Macaca mulatta: one gene and its partner. The protein of the gene in region 1 purifies or fractionates together with the protein of each later gene. This does not show direct contact. Links are inferred from orthologs where the notes say so. Each region holds a gene or a part of one and is shown on either strand. Other genes may lie near its edges.

Evidence for each region. Proteins that work in one complex are often made in the same cells at the same time.
Region 2: the proteins of COPG2 (region 1) and COPZ1 fractionate together in Homo sapiens (co-fractionation; 5 studies listed by BioGRID and IntAct, with this or other methods). This does not show direct contact. The link is inferred for Macaca mulatta from reciprocal best matches to the Homo sapiens genes COPG2 and COPZ1.

Annotation. Positions count from the first base shown.
Region 1 is NC_133408.1:170,234,511-170,242,320, reverse strand, and holds part of COPG2 (coatomer subunit gamma-2), read left to right. Parts: intron 1-457; coding exon 458-561; intron 562-1,124; coding exon 1,125-1,250; intron 1,251-2,393; coding exon 2,394-2,456; intron 2,457-3,214; coding exon 3,215-3,354; intron 3,355-3,912; coding exon 3,913-4,084; intron 4,085-7,810. UniProt on the Homo sapiens protein: The coatomer is a cytosolic protein complex that binds to dilysine motifs and reversibly associates with Golgi non-clathrin-coated vesicles, which further mediate biosynthetic protein transport from the ER, via the Golgi up to the trans Golgi network.
Region 2 is NC_133416.1:61,541,035-61,547,665, forward strand, and holds the end of COPZ1 (coatomer subunit zeta-1), read left to right. Parts: intron 1-186; coding exon 187-242; intron 243-2,514; coding exon 2,515-2,592; intron 2,593-2,747; coding exon 2,748-2,799; intron 2,800-4,369; coding exon of another isoform or gene 4,370-4,408; intron 4,409-4,437; coding exon 4,438-4,662; 3' UTR 4,663-5,222; coding exon of another isoform or gene 5,223-5,270; 3' UTR 5,271-6,592; downstream 6,593-6,631. UniProt on the Homo sapiens protein: The coatomer is a cytosolic protein complex that binds to dilysine motifs and reversibly associates with Golgi non-clathrin-coated vesicles, which further mediate biosynthetic protein transport from the ER, via the Golgi up to the trans Golgi network.

The sequences.
Region 1 (7,810 bases):
ATTGAAGCAGATAAATTACAAGCCAAAGGTTAGCTAGTTTACATAAATTGTCATTTGAGCAATAACAATGGCTGGATTTTGAATTTATCTTTTTAGTATCCTTGGAAAGTATAATACTCCCATTTCCTAACTACAAAAAAGTCTAAGTCTTCAACAGGGTCATGTGGTTACAGATGGAAGAAAAGACTCCAGACTGCTATTTCATGTTCTTGTGCTCCTCGTTATTTTAATGCCTACTTCTGTAGTGCTTGTGATTCACAATAACAGTATTTCTTTAGTAATTCAGAACAGTACCCAAGATTTGTGGAGACTTTAGGAGCTACTGTTGGCTATTGTTGAGCACTTTTTTAAAGATAGTATCAGATGACGACCTGAGCTGTGTCCTTTAGATTTGGTAGTAGAGCTATTGGAAGTCTTTGGGGTACTGTGACATGACTATTCTGTTTCTCCTGGACAGGTGCATGATGGATACTGATGATGAGGTACGAGACAGAGCTACCTTCTATCTGAATGTGCTGCAGCAGAGGCAGGTGGCACTAAATGCCACATATATCTTTAATGGTCAGTGAAAGCCAAGGATGTCCACTTTTGTTCCTTGAATGGTGTCTAGAAAGCATATTTCATGATTTGCATATGAACTAACTTCACTAGGCAGATGCTTGGTTTTTGTCTTTGAATGCATTTCCGTTTCTAGAGAAACCTGTGTCTATAGGACAGTTTCTAATTTGGTAATGGTAATTCCTGTGCAACAATCTATAAGAATATAGATTGGGCCCTTACATTTTTTAAGAACGTTGCTCACTTATTCCTGGTTCTCCTTGAACTCCTTCTTGTTGCTATTGTTGTTCCCATATAGCTAAGTTGCTTTCTTTTCCGGGAGGTACATACATTTTGTTGAAAATGTGTATGCTATGCTCCCATGTTTCCTTGAATGAAATAAGTCAGTTTATAAGTTTATAAGGTAATTTCAGGAATATCCTTTATTTTTATATTTAGGTTATAAAGCTTTTGGTTATATTTTTCTCTTCCTTCAGAAAGCTTTGATAAATATTACAAACCTGGGCCTATTTGGATTTGGGGATTGGCAAGAGGTTATAATGCTGAGATTTCTCTGTGTTTCACAGGTTTGACGGTCTCCGTACCAGGGATGGAAAAAGCCTTACACCAGTACACGTTGGAGCCTTCAGAAAAACCGTTTGACATGAAATCAATTCCTCTTGCTATGGCTCCTGTCTTCGAACAGAAAGCAGGTTAACTCTATTCGTTTTTCTGTGTATAAGTAGTTTTGCAAAACCAAAAAATACTATCTTACTTTCTCTAATACGCATTTAATTGTCACTCTTTTTTTTTTTTTTGGAGATGGAGTCTCGCTCCCGTCACACGGGCTGGTGTGCAGTGACACGATCTTGGCTCACTGCAACCTCCACCTCCCGGGTTCAAGCGATTCTCCTTCCTCAGTCTTCCGAGTAGCTAGGATTACAGGCATGCCCTACTACGCCTGGCTAATTTTTCTAGTTTTAGTAGAGACTGGATTTCACCATGTTGGCTAGGCTGGTCTTGTACTCCTGACCTCAGGTGATCCACCCGCCTCAGCCTCCCACAGTGCTTGGATTACAGGCGGGGAGCCACTGTGCTCGGCCGATTGTCACCCCTTCTAAATCTTTTAGATTTAAGACCTATTTTTATTAGAGTTTTAAAAAACTCCTGGTTTTTACATAAAAGCAGTAATATGAAATACGCTCCAAGATAAAGGTTTTTTTTTTAATGCAAAGTCTTACAGTATCTGAAGTCAGTTGCCACTGTGCATCTCACTCAGAGCAGTTAATAGTGCTGTTGCCTCCTATTTTTATTTTCCGAAGTTGATAATCTCTAAGTTAATTGATTTTGTTATTGGAGGTTCATCTTAAAAGAATTTATGGGACACAATCATAAAAAATATTCCCAAAGAATATCTAACTTTAAAACTTAAAACAAAAACAGAAGACATAAATGTTTAGTGGTTAGAACACAAAACTGGGAAGAAACAATTTTATGCTTATTTTCAACATTTTCAGTTTTTCTGTTGATATAAGTAATTTTTCCTATTTTGATCATGAGAAGATTTTTAAAATAAATTGTTTTTCCTTTTCTGAGTAATTTTTGTACATCCCAGTCCATTTAAAGCAAATTCTATATTTTTAGGGCTTACTTTATGATTCCACAACATATGTTCACTACATACATTTTAATTTGAGTGTCCCCCCATCAGAAGTGACAGATAACCTGTAAGTATGATTTAGTAATAGCTCATTATATATCTGCTAGAAATGTCTGCTCTTTTCTCTTTCTGTCTGCATTGCTAGCTTGATAGTACGGGGAGAAGTTCACTTACTTGCTCATATCTGTCTTTATAGAAATCACATTTGTGGCTACTAAGCCAGAGAAGCTGGCTCCTTCCAGGCAAGACATTTTCCAAGGTATGATGATTTGATGGTTAGACGTAATAATCTCGCCCCTTGGCATTGTAAATATAATAAAGTCCACCAGTCTTACTCAATTTGATTAGTTCTCAATATAGGAAATCTTCATGTGGCTGAACACCATAGGGTATAGTTGCTGAGGCTACCCGGAGTCCAGGAACTTTCCAGTTTGTAATTGCTAACTGGGAATGTTTTTCTTTTCTGTATCTCGTTGGTTAACAGGGAACTCATTGTAAAATAAGTATTTAGTTTCTTTTTTTTTTCTTTTGCTTTCATTATTATATAAGCTCACTTACTTAAAAGATTATTTCACTAAAACTTGGGGACATATTAGTTGAATGTTCAACCATTAGTAAGGCTATGGAAACTAAAGCTTTTGTTTTTTTTTTTTTTTTTGAGACAGAGTCTCACTCTGTCGCCCAGGCTGGAGTGCAGTGGCGCGATCTCGGCTCACTACAAGCCCTGCCTCCCAGGTTCACGCCGTTCTCCTGCCTCAGCCTCCTGAGTAGCTGGGATTACAGGCGCCCTCCACCACGCCCAGCTAATTTTTTTGTATTTTTAGTAGAGACGGGGTTTCACCATGTTAGCCAGGATAGTCTCAATCTCCTGACCTCGTGATCCCACGCCTTGGCCTCCCAAAGTGCTGGGATTACAGGCGTGAGCCACCGCGCCCGGCCAACTAAAGCATTTTTTAAGCATCCAGAGTAAAGCCTTTCCCTGTCTTCTTCATAGCCTGTGTTCTTTTTTCTTGATAGAACAATTGGCTGCCATTCCTGAGTTTCTGAATATAGGACCCTTGTTCAAGTCTTCTGAGCCTGTTCAACTTACAGAAGCAGAGACAGAATATTTTGTTCGATGTATCAAGCACATGTTTACCAATCACATTGTGTTCCAGGTAAGAGAATGCCCTTAACTCCTGTAGGGATTTAGTATAAACTGGTATGCTTTGAGACAAATATCCTTTACCTATAATTCTAGTTTCTTTTATAGATAATTAATTTGGCAGAATTTCTGGTTTTCTTGCTTAACACCAGAGCTATAGAGATCCCTTCATGTGATGGGCAACTTTTGATGGTTCAAATCTAAAGGACATAAAACTGAAATGTGTGAAGAAGTTGGACAACATAAAGTATAACCAACTTTTTAAAATTATCATTTAACATCAGGGTAGATTAAGTGGGCTAATTCTAAGAACTTAGATTTGACAGCGATCAGACTTCTGCCATCTTGTTTGGTACAGCAGTCTCAGGAAAGAGAAAAAACTGGTGAATAATATAAACAAAAGACCTCAACAATAAGGCTCTCCCTGTTGCCAAAAGAAGAATCTTAGGAGGAGACCTACCCTGCTCTTTAGAGGTAGAAGGTATAGTGGGTTCCAGAGCTGAGTAGTGGGTTATGAGTGGGAAGGATAACTTGTTATCCTTCACAACTTTTCCATTTACTGACTTTTCAGTTTGACTGCACCAACACTCTCAATGACCAGCTGCTGGAAAAAGTGACAGTGCAGATGGAGCCATCAGATTCCTATGAAGTGCTGTGTTGTATCCCAGCCCCCAGCCTTCCTTATAACCAACCAGGAATATGTTACACTCTTGTTCGTTTGCCTGATGATGACCCTACAGCAGGTACTAACCCTTAGAAGGGAGGAGATACTTACGTGATTCAGAATGCATTACCTTGAGAGCGCTTCAACTCTTCCAATGCTCAGTTTAAGAATGTGATGCTTTTCTAGAATTTAATGTAATGATAATGAGTGTGTGTGTGTATGTGTTTGTGTGTGTGTGTGAATATATATATTTATAAAATTGGTTACTGCTGCAGAAATAATTTTAAAACTAAATCTCTGAGTAAAATTTGCTAAACACTTAATCTTAAAAGAGAAACTGAGTGTGTATAGCACAAAAAGGAACTCAAGCTTTCTGTTGGAATAATGTGACCACTTGTGACAGTTCATATACCTGATGTCTCCTATGAAGAATCTTGACCCACTTCTCCTCAAAGTTTCTATCTAGTTAGATTGAACTTGGTTATGGAGTAGATGGTTGACATTTTAAAATATATCATTTTTGAAGGTCCTGTAGCATAAGGCTGGTGTCTGAGAGCATGTCTCAGCCTAGTGAGTGGCTTAGCCAACCATGTGTGTCCACATTAAGAAGGGCTTTTAATTCCCAGCTTGACCCATATGCAGTCTTTGCGGGGGGAAAAACAGCCCCTAAAAGGCAGCCAGCTAGTGTCAGTAGTAGTATTTACTTATTTGGAGACTTGGGAAGGTCTCATGACCTATCTCTTGTGAATGTCAAGTATTTGTTCTACTTGATTCCCCCCACCGCCATTTTCCTCCTTGATTTCTTCTCTCATTCATTGCACAATATTCATAACTGTTACCCAATTTTCACAGAAATAAGCACACACATCACATTTATGTTTTGAATAACTTTTACTGCTCATAAGTACAGGAAAAACAGAAGTTAAAAAATTAACAAATACTGGGGAAGTTACAGAGTTACAAGAAATCATAAAAGCACTAGTAAATAGTTATCCCTGGTCATCATTCAGTTACATTTGGGGCTTAACCTGCTTTCTTTTAGCCCCTCTCCAAACTCCCTTCTTAGATGTTGGTTCCTGGGAGCCTCTGTCCAGTCTTATCTGTGTTAGGTGATAGACCAGGCTGCTCAGACTCTAGCACGAGGTAGATTCAAGTTGGCACCACTGCTGTGTCTGAATCCCAGGTTGTTCCCTCTGGCCCTGGGTGGAACTCTACTTCTATCCTCTAGCCACCCTGGATCCATAACCCCCTGAGTAGGAAGGCACTTTCCTATCTGGCCTCCAGTATTTCTCCTTTGAGCTCAAGATTATCTGGCTTTAACCTTTAATTACCTCCTTTATCCCTTTGTGAGGTTTCTCTAGTTCCATTTCCTTATAACTTCGCTTTCTCTCCTGGTCTGTTTTTCTCTCCAGTTAGATTTGTCTGAAATATGTCCACAAGCCAGTAATTAAGCTGGCTCTACTCTTAAGTAAACCTAGTTTTATTTACCCTTTTCTAAACTAGTATTTGGGCCCAATCTTAATGTAGTCCTGTGGCTTCTACCATTGTCTGGAGAGATTCTGCACTTCGTCAGTTCTTTTCCAGTAGCCATCTTTCCATGTTTCAAAATTCCTCCCGCTATTCTACCTCTCACTATTCTACCTCTCACCAACATCCTGTTTTTTAAGGGATGCTATTACTTTGCCACTTACTTTCAGAGGGAAGTGAAATGCTGAACCCATTGAAGAATCAGTCCCTTGCCAATTGAGAATACTAGCTCTTCCCACTTCCCCAGGTTCATTTTGCTCACACCCCAGGAAGTATTCTTAACAGAATCTAAGAAGTACAATTTTATAATACCAAAATACACAAAACAGCAATATAGAAATTACATATAGCATAGGAAAAAACCAACAACAACAACAGAAAACATTTCCACCAAGAGAGAAAAACAGGAGAGGTTTTCTTGCCCCTGTTCACTAAGGATTTTTAAAACATAGATCTTACAGATTAGCCCAGAGATTTCAACATTTGGTCTGCTGGCTATGGACTCTTTTGCTTGATGGTTTGATTTTTGTTTATAAAAGTTTGGCATTTAGGGAATTGTTTAAAGTTTCGTTAGTAGTAAGTTTATATTTGACCCATCATATACCTACTTAAAAACAAACTCCTTTCTATTTAGTTTTTATCAGAATTCTCAAATTTTTAATCCATGGCCAATCTAAAGTCTATGCTATGCAATGAAAGAAGTGAAATACCAGGGCATAGATGGTAATAGGTATCTTCTACCCATTCCTTCCTTTTTGCATTTTCCCATCACAGATATTCCAAATTTTACCTATCACCTCAAGGTCTTAAACATCAATATGTCTCATTTCAGAAAAATAATGTTTTTCCTTATAATCACAGTGAAAAAACAGAAATTCTTGGTTGTTTCCTTCAACTTGAAAACAGTATAGCATAATAGAAAGAAATATGGGTTTGATAGACAGATGAGGATTTGAATTCTGGCCCTGCTACATACCTGACTGTGTGATCTTAGACAAATTATTTGATCTCTTAGAACTGTTATAAGATAAAATGAAATGAAATAATAGGTAAATTGCTTCACATGGTGCCAGACACATAGAACCTTTTAGTGTTTGATTCTAGAATTATCCACTTTCTTCCTTTATCTTCTCTAAAAATGAAGTCTTCTAGAGTTCAAAAGACAAGTATCCTCTAATCTCTTCCAGAAAGTTGTTCCATCAGTTATCCTTTCTTTGATCGATCTTTAATCTTTTCTACTCCCCTTACTTTATAAATGTATACAAATCTACCCTATCTGAAAAAATTTGCTGTAACCCAACATCAATATATTACCATAACACCTTCTTGCAAAGGTTGGGCAATTTCTTGAAAGACTAGGGACATGCTAATAATTAGTCCTACTTATTATCTTTCTTCCTCCAAGACCTTGTCCTTTACCTAAAAAGTTTTAGAAAAGCCTTTAAGGCAGCATTCCTTCTAAGCATTCATTCTCTTTCAGCAGCTCTGTTTCCCCTGAATATTTATTGCACCTGTAACAATATATATTATATACACAACATTCTACCAATTGTTCCCCATTTTGGACCTTTTTAATGCCACTACCAACTTAACTTTTTATTCCACTGCCTATTCAGAACCATTCTAATCTTTATATTGCTTTTATCAGGTTTTATTGTATCATATTTCTTATTATCTGGAACATTTCAACAAATATTAATAACTTACTTTAAAACAGCCTTTAATTCTAAGATCAGCTGTAACAGTACATGTATGTGAGTTTATTTTCTCTGATTTTCGTTGGAAATATTGCCTGCCATATAATGATTCATAATTATTTTAATTTCTCGACTTTCTGCCTACACTTCCTTAAAGTGCCATCTTAAGCTACTATACAATCCGATGGATTTCGAGGTCTTCTCTGAATCTGTAGTCGCCCTTCCATTATTTTCTGTTCAGTATTAACCATATTAACTTGGCATTCTGTACTAAAAACACAACGTCAGTTAAGTAAGATTTGCCTCAGAGTTTTTTACTTTTAACACTTCCACTCACCCACTGGGATCCATATTAATGAGGCTCAGTGAAACTGCATTCTTCTAAGCCAAGCATTTAATCTGAATTTTAACTCAAATACTAAAAAAAAAGCAGGATTGGTAGAACATTATGATTCAGCCACCCTTTCCCCTTCCTTTATCACTAGAATTTGTTTCAGCCTGGCTTTAAAATCAATATTCCTACAGTCTAACCCATTGAAAGACCTGCCAGGATTCTCAGTCTGAGATCTCCTTATTTACCA
Region 2 (6,631 bases), on another chromosome or scaffold:
GCAGAATTTATTTCTATGAGAAACCACAGGTCCTCTTCCTGTTGTGCTCTCACTTCCACCTTATGTTTTTGGTCCTTTGTGAAAGCCTGTGTCTTTTGATGTTTAATGAATTAGGAGGTTTTGTTTTTAGGTAGCAGCTTTCAGGGCCTTGAACCTTACCCTTCTGCCTCCTCTGTTTCCCAACAGCTGATGCTTATGGCAGTTCTGAACTGCCTCTTCGACTCATTGAGCCAGATGCTGAGGTGAGCAGGACATTCTTTTTTTTTCCCCCCAAGTTACGATGGAAACAGCAGGGCATTGTTGATTTCTGTTTGGGAGATAAAGTAACCATCTTCAGGCTCAGGGATTGTGGGAGATTGGCAAACGCTCCAGGGAGTTGATTTAGTTTAAGAAGTTGGGTTTTGCCAGGCGTGGTGACTCACGCCTGTAATCCCAGTACTTTGGGAGGCCAACGTGGGTGGATCACGAGGTCAGGTGAACCATCCTGGCTAACATGGGGAAACCCCGTCTCCACTAAAAATACAAAAAATTAGCTGGGCATGGTAGTGGGCGCCTGTAGTCCCAGCTACTCAGGAGGCTGAGGCAGGAGAATGGCGTGAACCTGGGAGGTGGAGCTTGCAGTGAGCCAAGATCACACCACTGCACTCCAAACTTGGCGACAGAGTGAGACTGTGTCTCAAGAAAAAAAAAAAAAAAGAAGGTCGGTTTTATTAATTCATAGTAATTCATGCTACTGGGGAGGACTGGATGGAGAGTATGTCCCTCCTATGGAATAATGATCTTACTAAGGAAGGGGACTGGGAGGGAGCCGAATCTTTACCTCTGTGTTTACTCTTGTAATCCCCTGTGGCCCTGTCAGATCTGAGCATCCTCAAGGTGCTTTCCTGGGCTTCATTCTTGACATTAGAAGTAGGGAAAGGGCAAGCATAAGGAAGTGTCCCAGATAGTATGTCATTCAGTACTTCGGGAATGGAAGCAACACTCCCAATTTTTTTTTTTCATTCTTTTTTTTTTTTTTTGAGATGGAGTCTCACTCCGTCATACAGGCTAGAGTGCAGTAGCATGATCTCGGCTCACTGCAACCTCTGCCTCCCAGGTTCAAGCGATTCTCCTCCTCAGCCTCCTGAGTAGAGTAGCTGGGATTACAGGCATGCGCCACCACGCCTGGCTAATTTTTGTATTTTTAGTAGAGATGGGGTTTTACCATGTTGGCCAGGCTGGTCTTGAACTCCTGACCTCAAATGATCCACCTACCTTGGCCTCCCAAAGTGCTGGGATTATAGGCATGAGCCACGTAGCCCAGTTTTTTTTTTTTTTTTTTTTTTTTTTCCACTTCTAGTCCTTGTTTTTTGCCTTCTATAGAACAGGAAGCACCCAGGCAGGAGGATTGCATAAGTCGAGTTCAAGACAAGCCTGGGCAACATAGTGCCCTGTCTCTGCAAAAAATAAAAAAATTAGCCAGGTGTGGTGGTACATACCTGTAGTCTCAGCTACTCAGGATGCTGAGGTAGGAAGATTGCTTGAGCCCAGGAGGTTGAGGCTGCACTGAGCTGTGATCATGCTGCTGCACTTCAGACTAGGCGACATAGCAAGACCCTGTCTCAAAAAACCAAAAAAAAAAAAAAAAAAAAACCAGGAAGCTTCTGCCATTTACCCTCTCCTCCCTTTCCACTTCCCCACTAGCCCTCTGTTAACCGTGTAGATGGGTAATAGAAGAGAGGTAAGTTACTTTTTCTGAAAACATCCAGGGCTCTGAACTTCATTCCCCCAGCAGCTCTCAAGTGAACCCAGTACAGACAGCCATCCAGACCAGAACAGCAGGCACTCTCAGCCCTGCAAACTCAGCAGGGTGAATGGCTCAGATTTCCTCAGGAAGGGGATGATTTATTTCTTATCCAGGTGAATGAATAGACTTCATTTCGGGTAATCTAGTGAAAGCCTCAAACTGACGGATGTGACAGGCCACATGCACCAACCACCGGATCTGAGGCTAGTGTATGCAGACCCTGCCCCCTCTTTGGGCTTCTTTTCAGGGCCTGAGCAGAGCTGGTAAGGGATAGGGAGAAGAGGGAACAGAGAATGTCTCAGGAGGTTTGTTAGAGCTTGAGTGCAAATAAGGTTTGCATTCAACCCCTCGCACCTCCGGCCACCTCCAGATTGAGTCTTAGCTCTGTTTATATTTTTTTCCACCCACTGATGTCAGTGTTTATGAGCAATGTTATGAGCAGCAGCATGGCAGGTAGGAAAGAAACAATAGCTGTGGATAATCAACCCCTGAATAGTCAGAAATTAACTGTATTATTTGAATCTCTTTCCATACATTCCTTATTCAGCAACCAAGAGTAGAAAGGGGTTTTGAGTGAACTAGCTAAAAAGTTCTTCACCTTATTTACTTCTTTGTGTGGTTGGTGGAGATGTTTATTGGTCTAGTTTAGGTTCCTCAATTCAGACAAGGTCCTAGGATTTCTTTCACACACAATTTGGTTTTTTTCTTCTCTTCTCTTGGGGACTCAGGAAAAATGTAGAAAAGCGAGCACTGCTGGAGAACATGGAGGGGCTGTTCTTGGCTGTGGATGAAATTGTAGATGGAGGGTAAGTTCTCTGACCTGCCTTGATCTTGGGTGAGGTAGTGGGATAACTGCCCCTGTCCTAAGTCAAGCAGGCTCAGCGGCCAGAGGTCCTGTTCCCCCACAGTGAGTTGGGCATTCGGGACAGAGTGAACAGTGATCTCTTCTTTGTTTTTGCAGGGTGATCCTCGAGAGTGATCCCCAGCAGGTGGTACACCGGGTGGCATTAAGGGTAAGCAGGAATGTGTTTCTCTGCATCCCCGCATCTATTCACAAACACCCTCCACAGCCAGACCTGCTGGATGTGTCTAGTAGTTGGGGCTCATAGGATACATAGAACCTTCTCTTTTTCTTTCAAATACATTCAGCCTTTCTCTTTCCTTCCCTTCTTATTGTCCCAAAGAAAGAAGAAGAAAGAACTTATTTCTACCCCTAATAAGGTACCTAACATCTCATACAGTCTTTGCACAAAGTGGACATTTAATACATATTTATTTAATAAGTGATAAAATAAACTAATATTTATGGTTTTGAAATTATAAAGGAACTTGAAGTTGGCTTATTTCCTTCTTGGAGATGGATCCAATCATCTGAGGCAGAAGAGTGTCTTTTTTGTCTTTTAAAGTGTTATATAGGACTGGGTGTGGTGGCTCACACCTGTAATCTCAGCACTTTGGGAAGTGGAGGCCGGTAGATCACAAGGTCAGGAGATCGAGATCAGCCTGACCAACGTGGTGAAACCCTGTCTCTACTAAAAATACAAAAATTAGCTGGGCGTGGTGGTGCGTGCCTGTAATCCCAGCTACTCGAGAGGCTGAGGCAGGAGAATTGCTTGAGCCTGGGAGGTGGAGGTTGCAGTGAGCCAAGATTGCACCACTGCACTGCAGCCTGGGTGACAGAGTGAGACTCTGTCTCAAAAATAAATAAATAAATAAATAAATAAAGTGTTACATAACTGAGGATGGTGCCTCTCCATCAGGAAGTACGTATTTGCCAGAACCTCAGAACCTCAGTCCTCTTTGGTGCTAGTGATATCAGAAAGGGGCCTCTGAGTTAACCATAGAAGGCCCCAGGTCAGCTGAGGAGATAATGGTGGATGCAGAGAGCCCACAAGCAAATTATACGGGTGCAGAGATGTCTGAGCAAAGCAAATTCTCCCCATTCACAGAATGTCCTGGCTCTGACCTCCACAGAGTGAAGGCTGACAGTGCTTGGTAATGGGAAATCTTCTCCCTTAACTGCTGTGGGCTCCATTTGCATAGTTTAATCTTCTCCTCTAACATATGTCTCTATGTGGCAAGAGAGAGGGTCCCCCCACCAACTCCCCCCTTTCTCTTCTCAGGCTGCTGTTGCAGCAGTTTATTTCTTCAAATTAACATGCTGTCGTTACCCATCAGGCTTTGCGGGATCCATTAAACCACTCCTGGCTCCCCCTCATCCTTTCCCTAGCAATACTGATACTCAGAGAAGGCCTTTTCTGACTAGAGAATCAGGTCCTCCACCCCCAAGTTAAGGGAGTTGAGGATCAGATAACCTGCTGGTTACTCGGAATGGAGTTAAATCTTTTAAGAAGTCCTCCTGCCTTAAAATGGAAGCTGGATGAAATGACCCTTTTTTGTTCATAGTCCCTCTGGCCAAGTAAAACTGTAGCTGTCCTAGTCCCCAGAAGGGACTGAGAAGTTCAGCGCATCTGCCCTTTGTTTCAGTTTAAAGGATTACTTTTTTCTTCTCTAATACCAGACTCCAATCAGGTCTTACTCCAGCTTTCTCCCACACTAAATGCTTGTATCTCTGTGCCATAGGGTGAAGATGTCCCCCTTACGGAGCAGACCGTGTCTCAGGTATGACTTTCTCCCTTCTTCCTTTCCAGATGGACTGCATCACTAAAGAGGCTAGAACAGCATTCCACCCATACCTCCCAAGTCTGAGTGAGACTGGAGACTCAAGACACATCTTTCTTGGCTCCCTCTTATTCCAGAGAACTGGGACTTATATAGCCAGCTACTCCCTACCCCTACTTCCAACTCCTTTCTTAGTTTCCTGTGAACAGTGGCTGTCAACCTTGCTCTGTACCCTTCAAACCTTCCTTGCCTGATGCCTCATTCAGTGATTTATTCCCCAGCAGAGGCTTGCCTTAAGCAGATGGTCTGTGTGCATTTGTGCATACACTCTCTCTTTCTCTTATTATTCAAATGAGGGCTAAGCTGGAAATGCATATTCTAGAATATGCAGGTTTTGCAGATCCATCTTGCTACCTTGACTGCAGATAGATTGTCTACCTGATGTAGGGGGAAGGGAGGGGTTCTGTTTTCTACCCGCTTGGCATTCTCACCAAGAAGTCCATCTGGATTTGTTACCCGTCTCCCACCCACCGCCCCTTTTAATATGTGTCCAGTAACTCCCAGTTTTTTTTTTTTTTTTCTTTTGTACCTCTTCTTTCTTCATCCCCCTCAGTGGATTTGTATTTTTTTGAAATTTTCCAAACAATCTGCTAGGGCCTTAGAGAGCTTCTTCCCATCTCTTTACCTTTGGGGATTTTCTATTCTCCATTCTTGTAAGGACAGGGAAGACAAGTGAGGGGAAGGAGATCCCCAGCCCTCATGCTTACCCTGCCCTGTCAGCAAGCTTTCCTCAACGCTGCTCTTATCTCTGCAGGTGCTGCAGTCAGCCAAAGAACAGATCAAGTGGTCACTCCTTCGGTGAAGATCCCACTGTTCCTGGCTCTTCATCCTCTTCAAAAAATTCGCATGTCTGCTGTGAATTTTCATCTAGTTCCCCAATCGATGCTCTCAGGGTCATCTCGGGGATCACAGGGATCCTTAAATCTCCATTCTGTTTGTGGTTGTCCCCCCAACCTCCCCTACACCCTCCCTATTATTTTTCATTCTTCTTGCAGTTCTGGGAGTAAAGCTCCCAGCATATTCAGATAATAGGGCAGGGGAAGCACCCTCTTTCTTTCTCGACTGGATTATGCTCACATGCTCCCCTGCCCTGACATTTTTGTAAATTCTGTGCCCTTTGTTGTAGCTACACTTCAGATTAAAGTAGGAGAAAGAATGTGCTGAATGTTTTCCTGCCTTTGCCTTTACCTGGACCTCATCCCGACACCCCAGCAAGGGGAGGGAAAAAGAGAATTCTTTACTATAGAACGAGTGGGGGTGGGGATGGGTAGGGATTTATCCAATCTAAGCCCTAGCCCCACTTACTGACCTCAGTGTTTTCTTCCATTCCTTCTTACTGCCCTGTCCTCTGCCTTGGAAAAGGTACTGGGAATAGTTCATAGGGAAGGGACAACATGGAAGAAACAGTGATTTAAATTGTATTGAATAGGGCACATAAAATGCATTCTCTACCCCGATCTGGCATATAGCTTCAAAACTGCCGTGGTGAGTGCCCGTCTCTTAATTAGCTGCCTTAACTCCACCCTTACTACCTGTGGGATCTTTGCCTGGTTTGTCTTCTCTGTGTCCTGAAGCAAAGCCAGTTCCTAAAACTAAAACTCCATTCTAGTCTTGGGAAGAAAACTTTCTACTCAGAACTGGGGAAGGAGTAGAACTTATGACTTGGGCGTCTAGGCTGTCTCTGTCCCCTCAACTCCCCGACATGCATTTACTCCTCTGCCTTGGGTCTACATTCGCTGCAGCCCACCCTCTCTCTGCTTCAGCCTTACACCCAAGCAGTGCGTCTGTGCTCTCCCTGTCTCTAGGTCGCTGAGAGAGGTGCTTTTCTTCATGAAACCTTTGGGATTTGGATTTCCCCAGGAAGATGGAGAATGGAATACTCACTCTTGGGTGTAATCTTTCCCCTAGACCCAGAACTTCCTCCCCACAAAAATGTCTTTAAAAACCTTCCTGAGACTTAAGCATTCTGCCCCACTTACTAACTGCCAGTTCTCCAACACTGAAGTGGGGCAGATAACTGGGCATATTTGAGGGGGCATCTTTGTGTAAAAGATGCATGGAGTCAGGAGATAGCCACCTTCATAAACTGCTCTGTGCAAAGAGGAATAAAACATTTTTTCAAAACTGCCTTTGTGTGATGTTTCTGTTTCTCTTCCTCTCTTT